3 linked regions of the Saccharomyces cerevisiae S288C genome follow. The protein of the gene in region 3 binds, or shares a complex with, the protein of the main gene of each other region. Links are inferred from orthologs where the notes say so. Each region holds a gene or a part of one and is shown on either strand. Other genes may lie near its edges. A codon is read from its position in the direction of its gene.

Evidence for each region.
Region 1: the proteins of TAF12 (region 3) and TAF9 are in contact, whole or in part, in a cryo-EM structure (PDB 6TB4), measured with the Komagataella phaffii proteins. The link is inferred for Saccharomyces cerevisiae S288C from one-to-one orthologs. Residues at the interface, in XP_002491504.1 of Komagataella phaffii: Phe543, Arg546, Leu547, His550, Arg551, Lys552, Arg559, Asp560, Leu563, Arg567, Asn568, Ser578, Asp579, Glu580, Ile581, Arg582, Arg585, Tyr593; in XP_002491029.1 of Komagataella phaffii: Tyr40, Gln48, Asp49, Thr51, Ile52, Tyr53, Ser54, Asp55, His56, Ala57, Ser65, Asn66, Asn69, Ala70, Gly71, Thr72, Glu79, Asp80, Leu83, Ala86, Ala87.
Region 2: the proteins of TAF12 (region 3) and HFI1 are in contact, whole or in part, in a cryo-EM structure (PDB 6T9I), measured with the Saccharomyces cerevisiae proteins. Residues at the interface, in NP_010429.1 of Saccharomyces cerevisiae: Lys417 (codon at 646), Lys419 (codon at 640), Leu420 (codon at 637), Leu423 (codon at 628), Val424 (codon at 625), Thr426 (codon at 619), Val427 (codon at 616), Gly428 (codon at 613), Gly432 (codon at 601), Asp433 (codon at 598), Gly434 (codon at 595), Glu435 (codon at 592), Thr436 (codon at 589), Val437 (codon at 586), Ile438 (codon at 583), Asp439 (codon at 580), Asp441 (codon at 574), Val442 (codon at 571), Glu444 (codon at 565), Leu445 (codon at 562), Leu446 (codon at 559), Leu447 (codon at 556), Asp448 (codon at 553), Leu449 (codon at 550), Ala450 (codon at 547), Asp451 (codon at 544), Asp452 (codon at 541), Phe453 (codon at 538), Val454 (codon at 535), Thr455 (codon at 532); in NP_015069.1 of Saccharomyces cerevisiae: Arg235 (codon at 1,219), Leu241 (codon at 1,201), Leu259 (codon at 1,147), Ala260 (codon at 1,144), Ser261 (codon at 1,141), His264 (codon at 1,132), Ser265 (codon at 1,129), Leu266 (codon at 1,126), Pro267 (codon at 1,123), Asp268 (codon at 1,120), Phe272 (codon at 1,108), Arg275 (codon at 1,099), Met276 (codon at 1,096), Ile279 (codon at 1,087), Ala280 (codon at 1,084), His283 (codon at 1,075), Gly284 (codon at 1,072), Leu285 (codon at 1,069), Val286 (codon at 1,066), Gly287 (codon at 1,063), Thr288 (codon at 1,060), Val289 (codon at 1,057), Asp290 (codon at 1,054), Arg292 (codon at 1,048), Cys293 (codon at 1,045), Glu295 (codon at 1,039), Leu296 (codon at 1,036), Ile297 (codon at 1,033), Leu299 (codon at 1,027), Ala300 (codon at 1,024).

What each region holds. Positions count from the first base shown.
Region 1 is NC_001145.3:740,898-744,025, reverse strand, and holds TAF9 (chromatin modification protein), read right to left. Parts: upstream 1,056-3,128; coding exon 582-1,055; downstream 1-581. Other genes in the region: BCH1 (exomer complex subunit), read right to left, coding at 1-277; GTPase-activating protein RNA1, read left to right, coding at 1,291-2,514; RNH1 (RNA-DNA hybrid ribonuclease), read right to left, coding at 2,714-3,128. UniProt on the Saccharomyces cerevisiae protein: Functions as a component of both the DNA-binding general transcription initiation factor complex TFIID and the transcription coactivator SAGA complex.
Region 2 is NC_001148.4:67,652-71,405, reverse strand, and holds HFI1 (Hfi1p), read right to left. Parts: upstream 1,922-3,754; coding exon 455-1,921; downstream 1-454. Other genes in the region: VIK1 (Vik1p), read left to right, coding at 1-343; BBP1 (Bbp1p), read right to left, coding at 2,524-3,681. UniProt on the Saccharomyces cerevisiae protein: Component of the transcription coactivator SAGA complex. SAGA acts as a general cofactor required for essentially all RNA polymerase II transcription. At the promoters, SAGA is required for transcription pre-initiation complex (PIC) recruitment.
Region 3 is NC_001136.10:744,878-748,631, reverse strand, and holds TAF12 (Taf12p), read right to left. Parts: upstream 1,895-3,754; coding exon 275-1,894; downstream 1-274. Other genes in the region: DNA-binding transcription factor SWI5, read left to right, coding at 1-19; MKC7 (aspartyl protease), read left to right, coding at 2,531-3,754. UniProt on the Saccharomyces cerevisiae protein: Functions as a component of both the DNA-binding general transcription initiation factor complex TFIID and the transcription coactivator SAGA complex.

The sequences.
Region 1 (3,128 bases), on a different chromosome or scaffold from region 3:
AAAAGAAAGTGCCGATCTGCCCCTTTAATTTGTCATGGGAATGTAACTCCGTAACTATGGTCGTAGGATCTTGTCCATTGATGTTTGAAGTTGCTCCGTTATCGTTGGCGGAGGCAGTAGCAGTTGTTGTGCTCGAGGATGAAGGTAACGATTTGATCAAAGTAATTAAATCAGGCGGACCCAAGTCTTGGAATTGTCCCACTCTGGCTCTCCTCTGGTGTAGCGCATAGCCTATCACGTCTTCTTTCACTTCCGGTATGGAGGTTTGAGACAACATGGTTAGGACTTCAAGTTTTCAGTTTATCCTTTTCACGTTCTAAAAATCAATACAGCGCGGAAAGTGCTCTCAAGAAGATGAATTGAGATGTTTAAGGGTCCATTTGTTACTACATTATCGTGTAGATCTCATTTCTCTAACTTTCCATGTAGGAAAGGGCAGGCAGGAAAAAGAACATTAGAGAACATGATCACGATACACGACTAGCGCATTATTTAGTGTATATTACTCTATTATGCATTCTACATGACGCATCTTCCGGAAGAACTTGATTTAGTGTACTTATGATATATAAGCGGTGCATTCACATAGACTTTGGGTCCTCAAGGTCCCACTCCTTCGCTGTGAGACAATATTTTTCTGGGGGAAGCCTGACACCCCACGTACCCATCACTTGAGGTAATGCCTTCTTGTTTCTTTCCGCAGCTAACTGTAACATGAGCTCCTTAGGTGCCGTAGGCTTAAATTGGTATTGTGTTCTCGCTGCAATGGCAAGCCGTATGTCTTCTACTCCTAATCCACTGCCGGCAGAATTTCCACTGCCAGCGTAGTCGTTGTAAACCAACGCGTCCTTAAGGACTCCTTGTGTGTACCTATGTGCAAAATCCATCAATTGTAGCGGTACTTGGTCCTCATATTGATGAATCGACTGTGATGCGAGGAGCAGATGCAAAAGACGGACATCTCGTGGCGTTTCCTCTTGTGTTGAGTCCGGACCAACTTCTGATACTGAGCCCACTGAGTTTTTATTCAAAACATTCTTGCCTCCGCCGTTCATAATGGTCTGTGAAGTCCTCTAGTCTTTTCTTGTTGTCGTGTTGTTTCATAATGTCAAATTCTACTTTTGATTTAAAGCTCTTAGTTTGGTCATGGAATGCATGTCACTATGCACGTTGTGGGACAATTAATGGAAAAAAATTTATTAGGAAGATATTGATCAAAGGCATAATATCACGGTAAAAGGTGAATATAGGCCATTTTAACAGGCTGTCTTTCGAAACAGATTTTTAGCTATGGCTACCTTGCACTTCGTTCCTCAGCACGAGGAAGAACAAGTTTACTCCATCTCTGGGAAGGCACTCAAGTTAACAACCAGTGACGATATCAAACCATACCTGGAAGAATTGGCAGCTTTGAAAACCTGTACCAAATTAGACCTTTCAGGGAATACAATCGGTACTGAAGCTTCGGAAGCATTAGCTAAATGCATCGCTGAAAATACACAGGTCAGGGAATCTTTGGTTGAAGTAAATTTTGCTGACTTATACACTTCGAGGTTGGTTGACGAAGTCGTTGATTCGTTGAAGTTTTTATTGCCTGTTCTGTTGAAATGTCCTCACTTGGAGATTGTGAACCTTTCTGATAATGCGTTTGGGCTAAGAACAATCGAGTTACTAGAAGATTACATTGCACATGCCGTGAATATCAAACATTTGATCTTAAGTAACAATGGTATGGGCCCTTTTGCTGGTGAAAGGATTGGTAAGGCCCTATTTCATCTCGCTCAAAATAAGAAAGCTGCTTCCAAACCATTTTTGGAAACTTTTATCTGTGGTAGAAATAGATTAGAGAATGGATCCGCAGTCTACTTAGCTCTGGGTTTGAAAAGCCACTCCGAAGGTTTGAAAGTCGTAAAGCTGTACCAAAATGGTATTAGGCCTAAAGGTGTCGCCACGCTAATTCATTACGGTTTACAGTACTTGAAAAACTTGGAAATCTTGGATCTTCAAGACAATACTTTCACGAAACATGCTTCTTTGATCCTTGCTAAGGCCTTGCCTACATGGAAGGATAGTTTATTTGAATTGAATTTGAACGACTGTCTTTTGAAAACTGCTGGTTCAGATGAAGTCTTTAAAGTATTCACCGAAGTTAAATTCCCCAATTTGCATGTCTTGAAATTCGAATATAATGAAATGGCTCAAGAAACCATTGAAGTATCCTTCTTACCGGCTATGGAAAAGGGAAATTTACCTGAATTGGAAAAGCTAGAAATAAATGGTAACAGATTAGATGAAGATTCTGATGCTTTAGATTTGCTCCAAAGCAAATTTGATGATTTAGAGGTTGACGATTTTGAAGAGGTCGATAGTGAAGATGAGGAAGGCGAGGACGAGGAAGACGAGGACGAGGATGAAAAACTCGAAGAAATTGAAACGGAAAGGCTTGAAAAGGAACTGCTAGAAGTACAAGTAGATGATCTTGCTGAACGTTTAGCTGAAACTGAAATCAAATAGCTATGAATAAAAGTAAAAATAAACACAATCAACTGTGGACGAGGTTCAGGCAAATATCATGGTGACACGCTTATAGATAGTTATCGGGTAAGTTAAAAAACCAAATAGCTGATGTATGTATATGTATGCAAAAGATATAAAATATATATTTCTATTACAGGTACAACAGGTCCAGTAAGAAGCCAAGCAAAAAACAGCATTATCGTCTAGATGCTCCTTTCTTCGCCAGAAAATCTGCCATTTCATTTCCTGGATCACCATCGTGTCCTTTTACCCATTCAATCTGAAATTTACCATTATTTTTGAAGCACTCTTTATTCAACTCATAGTACTTTTTAACTTTAACGAACCTCTGCACCAAAGGAACAATTAAATCAGAATTAGGTAGCCCTTCAAGTTTTTTATTATCATACGTCATATACCTGTCATTTAATAATTTGGTTACGTACTCTGAATCAGTTTTGATTTGATAATTTACTTTTTCCTTTTCATTAGTTAACTTTTCCCAGATTTTCTTCAAAGCTTCTGATACTGCTTCGATTTCAGCTCTATTATTAGTTTGAGCTCCCGATAATAAGGGTTCTGAAATATTTTCCTCTGGCGCTCCTTCAAAA
Region 2 (3,754 bases), on a different chromosome or scaffold from region 3:
TAGTTGTGATGAACACCCAAATTTACCTCATTCTGGGATGGGTATAATCAAGGTGCAGTTTTTTCCTCGAGATTCAAAAAGCGATGGCAACAATGACCCCGTACCGGTGGACTTTTATTTTATCGAGTTAAATAATCTGAAGTCCATTGAACAGTTTGATAAAAGCATCTTTAAGAAGGAATCATGCGAGACCCCTATTGCACTTGTTCTGAAAAAACTAATTTCTGATACTAAATCCTTTTTCTTGCTAAACTTGAACGATTCAAAAAATGTCAATAAATTATTAACGATTTCAGAAGAAGTTCAAACACAACTTTGTAAAAGAAAGAAAAAGCTCACTTAAGCTCGGTCACATTATCGTCTTTCTTAACACAGCCATTTAGATATGAAACAAATAAGGTTTATAATCTTTCAATATAATTACAACATACCGCATACACACACTTTTTATACATCAATCTTCCGTTAAGATTCCTTTAATTAACCAATTTAATTCATGCCTTGTACCAACGTTTCTTTCATCCAAAGGCGTGAAAGTCGGCTTTTCATTTAAGAAGTCCGGCAAGTCGTCAATATTGCTCTTCATATCTACTAGTTCATCATCGTTAACTAGCCCTAAATTAGTTAACGCATAGTATGAACCTGAAGGTTCAACCAAATTCGGAAATATAGATAACGAATCATATATGTCTTCATTCGTTAATGATATCGTTCTGTTTTCATGTAACTCCTCATTAACTGCTTCGCCAGCCTTTGTAATGCTGCTCATTGATATGTCGCCAATATCGTCCTTGCTACTGTTATTGCCGTTATTAATACTTTTGGCTTCATCGGCACATTCATCCTCATTTTTATCATCATCTAACTGCTTAATTTTGGCATCGCGTTTATCAGCAGCCATTTCTGATACGGATTTATAAAGCCCACTCTCATTCAAATCATAATAATCTGAATATTTCTTCCTTCTATAACGAACTGTATCAATAGTAAACTCTATTATATTTTTTAGATATTGATCTAGGGCCAATGATATAAGCTCTACGCAACGTGCGTCCACTGTGCCGACTAACCCATGTTCTCTTGCTATACCAACCATTCTTAAGTAAAACGAATCCGTGTCTGGTAAAGAATGGCTTTCGCTCGCTAAAGGAACGTTGAATCCATTCATTATATCTTGTGACCATTCCAGCGGCGTTTTTAAATTATTGCTCTTGACACGCTTCAAACTTTCTGGATTGGTTACAATGGGAATTTTGGGTATATTATTTAATCTGGCTTGAAATACAGAGCAAAAAATGAAGCCTCTTTTGCCGGCCTCTTTCGTGATCATTTTAAGTCTATTTCGATCATTTAGAGGTAACGACATGACAATTTTTTTATAGACTTCAATTTGAGAGTTATGCTTATTGATTCTTTTTAGTTTATTGTTTGGATTGTTGCTTCCATTGCCAAATCCCCAAGAACTCTCATTACCGTTTCTCCCAAGAGGGTTTTCACGTAATGAATTAGCAAAAATCCCTAATAAAAGTTGGTTATGAAGTCGTACTAAACTATGGTGATGATTTGTATTTGATTTTTCTAAGCTTGCAGCGCTTGGTGAAAATACCAGCTCTAATTCATTAGAAAGTTCCTTTCTGGATAACTTCCCTAAAATGAAAAGACTGATGATCTGAGCATATTTCGTCCAGCTTTCTTTTCCCAATAGTGAGGTTAATTCTTCGATCATGGCACCCAAATCAATTCTCTGATTTGGTCCCTGAGGCTCCGCAGTTTCATTGTTACCATTGTTAGGCTCGGTATGATTACTGACGGCAGGACTACCAATTAGGCCCGGCTTCATATATGCATTCGTGGAAGCTGGCGAAGCAGCTGGATAAGTTGGCTGCAGAGGTTTAGGTGCTGGCGATTGTATAGCTGACATGATAGAAGAAATCAAAACTACTGGGCTTGTTTTCCCTATATTTTTATTGAATTTTTATTACCACTTATAGCTCAAAATTTATACTGTGGGAAAAATCACGTGCGAGAAAGTAAGCCCTATCCAATGATGATAACGAACAGACGAATGAAAAGAGCAACGATACTTTGTTAATCTGTTGTAAGTTCGATGTTCAAGGCACAAGTAGACAGAGACAATTTCGCGTTGCACCTACTTCTATCCTGAATTTTATCTTTTTTATTTTAACAAATTTATGTCACATCGTAACTTCAAGTTTCACTTTTTTTGTTCAAAATCGCAACCTGATAATGAAGAAAAAATGGGCGGGAATTACAGCTCGTGTTGAGTGATGATAATAAGAACGTATCTTTTTTTATTCCGTTATCTATATAATGTACATACCTAAGTAGTTAACACATTATCATTGCTATCATGACGTATTTTTAATGTTACAGTGGGAGAAACGTGTCAGCTTTTCTGCTTCAGCGTTCTATGAATCCGTCTATATTTTTTAAGTAATCAGTGTCCCATGAATGCGAATTAGAGTCGTAACTGTTATTTCCATTGTGGAATGGAGTCCTGTCCTATTGTCCTGTTGAAAAAATATTCGAACCAGCAGAAGTATCTTTTCTCTCGTTATTACGAAGGCTAAGCTGTAATAATAAATCATGTATTTCGGATTCATAATTGTCCCGCTGCATGTCCTTTTCTATTTGCAAATTGGTATATTTCAGCTCTAAATCGGATAGTCTTTGCTTCAATGTTTGTATTTCAAAGTTTTTCAAATCCTCCTCCTGATACAGCCGTTCCCTAGAAGTGGCCAGTTCAGCCTCATGACTGATCGTTTGATCAAGGACCTTTTTCAAACTCTTGTACTTCTGACCTAATGAATAATAATTTTCAAAGAGTGTCTTAGATTTCTTCAACTCGTTGACCAGTTCTGCTCTCATTTCCTCGTATGCTTGCTTATAAGTTTGCTCATTCCTGTGGAATTGCTCACGCTGCTCTCTAACATCCTCACACAAATCTTCCAGGTCTCTACTGTTCAAGTCCATTTGTGCAAAAAGATCAAAATATGCCTTTTTATACTCTCTATTCTTGTGGCAAGCATCTTCGTCCCGGACATAGTAATTGTCTATTTCATCACGTTTTGTTAAGGGAGATGGAAATTTGCCTGGTATATCTTTAACCGATAACTTATAGGGCGATCTTCTAACCTCATTAACTCCATCCTTGTTAAATAATTTCGAGAGCAAAGGGTCGTCTTCCTGAGGTGGTATAAAGGGTATCTGCGAATTGGAAAGCTCATTTATAGTTCTCCTTTTTGTGTGTAGTCTGTGACCAAATGTATCCGTAGGTTCGTTACGAAGTGGTTCTCTCGGTACTATCGGAGCAGGACTTCGTAAAGATCGTATTCTCTCTTTGCTGTGGTGGTCACCGTTAACAATTGAGTTAAAGCCGTTCTCGTTGTACTCTGGGAGTAACTCGTACTTCCTATGGAGCGTTGAATCCAGACCAGACCACGAATTTGACCTCGATAAGTTTGTACTCCTCCTGTTGGAGTCATTTCCAAACTTCATAGAAAAATTTGTGTCGTCTTGGGCATACCTAGATCGGTCTCTTCGTTCTTCCTGATCTTTATATTTCATTGAAGGTGATATGTCCGTACCAAACAGCGCATCCTTAGTCCATTTGAAAAGACCAAAAATGCCCCCTCCGCCCGTGTTGTCTTCCTGATTCATTGTTCAGTAGTCATTCGCCTCTATGCTCCTTCGAAGATTGACTTTTTTCGTTGTTTTGATTTCCTCGTCTTCA
Region 3 (3,754 bases):
GAAAACTAATCAAAGGTAAAAAAAAACATTGATGTTATGGACACTTTTTTTAATATTTAATAATAAAAACAAAATGAAAACAAGGAAAAAAAGTTTTTTTTTTTTTTAATTATGTATAATCTAAGTAAATAATATAGTATGAACACTTTAGATACAAAATATTAATTAATCAATTAATTTTAAAAAATTTCGCTTTATAGATACATATATAACAATGTGAACTATAACTTTAGGAATTTTTTCTGTGGAAGAGTGGAGAATGTGGGTAACATAATTATTTTTTTGTATTCAAGCTTGCAACATTGTTTCCATTGTTTTTTGCAGCTGCTACCTTATCTGATGTGATACTCTGCAATTTCTGGTTATAATTTTGAGAGGGATTCCATTTTCTTGTACTTCTTATTTCGTCTGCGGAATAACCAGGAATCCTAATATTCCAATTTCTCTCCAAATGTAACTGAATGTCTCTTGCCTCCAAATTGTCCGATTTTCTGTGTTTTGCCAATCTACAAGAAAAAGCTGTAACATTAGTAACAAAATCGTCGGCAAGATCCAATAGTAATTCCTCAACATCACCGTCAATGACAGTTTCACCGTCACCCTCATCAATTCCGACAGTCTTCACTAACTCTCTTAATTTACGCTTTGACATAACTCTCTGAGTATCCATTTCATAGGGTGGTAATTTAGTTGTTGCTGGTGTATTCAAAGCACTGGCATTCATAGCAGAACCTCCAGTTATTGTAGGTCTGTTGGATCTATAAGCTACCGGTGCTGGTGTTTTGGTAGATATATTTTCCGATATGGGTATGGCAGGCTCTGTTTGTTTGAATATTGCCGATTTGCTCGAACTTATATTATTCAACATAGATGCCGTTGCATTTACATTGGTTACCTTAGCTTTCGATTGTTCAGTCTGTGAAGTGTTAACATTGCCCCTGGGATTATTGGTGGCAGTTATTGTATTCTGCTGCTGCTGCTGCGATTTCAGTGCATCAGGGCCGGTTACAGAGGGTATTTCAGTAGAATTAGAACTAGAAATCTTTCTTTGGTTTTGACCCTGGCGTTGCTGTTGCTGTTGCTGTTGCTGTTGCTGCTGTTGCTGCTGCTGCTGCTGTTGTTGTTGTTGTTGTTGTACCCTTTGTTGCTGCACTCGTTGCTGTTGAGTGCTTTCTTGCAAGAATTTATGTAAAGCCGGATTGTGTCTTGCACACTCTACATAGAATGTTTTTTTACTGTTTTGATAATTATTGAACAGCTTGGTATACTCAATTTTTAGCACCTTCCAATCGTTAAGCAGTTCAATTTTCTTTTCTTGTAGCTGCTGCTTGGGCCCTTCGTCCGTCTGTTTATTTATTTCTTGTTCTAACCTATCAATATTTTGTTTCAAGTAGGTCTCTTTCTCCTTTATACTCGTATGACGGACTTGGAAATTCTGCCATAGCTTTTCATATTCTTGGTTCTCTTCCGGGGTGAGAACCTGTTTTATCATATTGCTAAATTTGTTACTGTTGTTTCTTGTCTGTTGTTGTTGTTGTTGTTGTTGCTGTGATGAATTAGGGACATTTTCAGTAGGAATAGAAGCTGGATTGCTTGAATTTGAATTTGAAGTATTATTGTAGGCTTGCGCAGCCTGTTGTCTTCTCCTATTCAGTGTAAGGGCATCATATACCTGTTTGATCTTTGCGGCTTGGAACATCAATTCCTTGCCCCTAGGAGTAGTTTCACCTACATTTCTTGCTTCAGTCAGTAATGTCCTGAACTTAGCGGCCATTTCTTGCAACTGTCTCGGTTGCAGTACCATATTTTGCTGAGCTCCTGTGATCGCATCAGCGTTACCAGTGCCCGTATTATTATTCGCATTAACACCAGAATTTTCTGGATTGGAAGACATTGTCGTATTTTATACACACACTGGCAAAGATTCGGTTATGATTCGAATGCTATTGGACAGTCTCCTGTCTTACACTAGCGAACCTATGCGCTATATATGCCCATTATTCATTTGCTCCGACTTAAGTCTAACACATTTTTTAACAAAATTCGCCGCGTATACTGCCCGGGTAATACAGCCAAAATCGTGATATTCATTTGATACGTTTACTTGCAAAGCTGTCATGAATCAAGATTGTACATTTATATACCATAAGGTGCTCTTCATATTCAACAATGCATTTAATTCATCCTCGCTACGCTTACTAGACCCTATTTACTAATTAAGACGGGATTCATACACATCGTTTTGCACGTAGAAAGTTACACGCGTTTTTTTTTTTTTGAAGTTGAAATTTCAGCTACGCATCGAGAAAGTTTATTTGGCAGTTTTCTTTTAAAGTTTTGAACCTGTTTCAATACCTTATTTCCTACCATCTTTCATTATTCAGATAATCACTTTTGGGAGAAATTTGGTTGGCGTCACTCGTTCTTGCTAAGAAATTGTAATTGGCTAAAAGTATCAACGAGAGAACAAGCTTTTGTCGTTATTCGCTTGAGCAAATACGTCAAAAATAAACGAAAAAGAAAGAGCTCTATGAAATTATCTGTCCTCACATTTGTCGTAGATGCATTACTTGTCTGCAGCTCAATAGTAGATGCCGGTGTTACAGATTTTCCATCCTTACCAAGTAATGAAGTCTATGTCAAAATGAATTTTCAGAAGAAATACGGCAGTTCATTTGAAAACGCTTTGGATGATACAAAAGGTAGAACGCGTTTGATGACAAGAGATGATGATTACGAGCTGGTGGAACTGACTAATCAAAACAGTTTTTATTCGGTGGAATTAGATATTGGCACCCCTCCTCAAAAAGTTACTGTGCTTGTCGACACTGGTTCTTCTGATCTATGGGTCACGGGTTCAGACAACCCATACTGTTCCACTAAAAAGAAGGATACCACTGGCTCATCCTTTAAACAAGTAAACAAGGATGCTTTGGCTAGCGTGGTTGAGAGTGTGTTTACTGAAATTAGCTACGACACCACTATAGTTACCAGCGAAGCCACTGCTACTTTTGATAGTACAGCTTCTACATCACAGTTAATTGACTGCGCTACATACGGGACATTTAATACCTCTAAGTCGTCTACATTCAACTCCAATAATACAGAATTTTCGATCGCCTATGGTGATACGACTTTTGCATCTGGTACCTGGGGCCATGATCAATTGAGCTTGAACGATTTGAACATTACGGGTTTATCATTTGCTGTAGCAAACGAAACAAACTCAACAGTTGGTGTCTTGGGTATTGGTTTGCCTGGCTTGGAGTCAACTTATTCTGGTGTTTCTCTCAGCTCTGTACAAAAAAGCTACACTTACAATAACTTTCCGATGGTGCTAAAGAATTCGGGTGTAATAAAATCAACAGCTTATTCTTTATTCGCAAATGATTCTGATTCGAAACATGGTACCATTTTGTTTGGCGCTGTGGATCATGGAAAATATGCGGGCGACCTATACACAATTCCCATCATTAATACTTTGCAGCATCGCGGCTACAAGGATCCAATTCAATTCCAAGTCACTTTACAAGGATTAGGTACGTCGAAAGGGGATAAAGAAGACAATCTGACAACCCTAACCACTACAAAGATCCCAGTCCTGCTAGATTCAGGTACGACCATATCGTATATGCCAACTGAGCTGGTAAAAATGCTTGCCGACCAGGTCGGAGCTACTTACTCTTCTGCATATGGTTACTACATAATGGATTGTATCAAAGAGATGGAAGAAGAGAGTAGCATCATCTTTGAT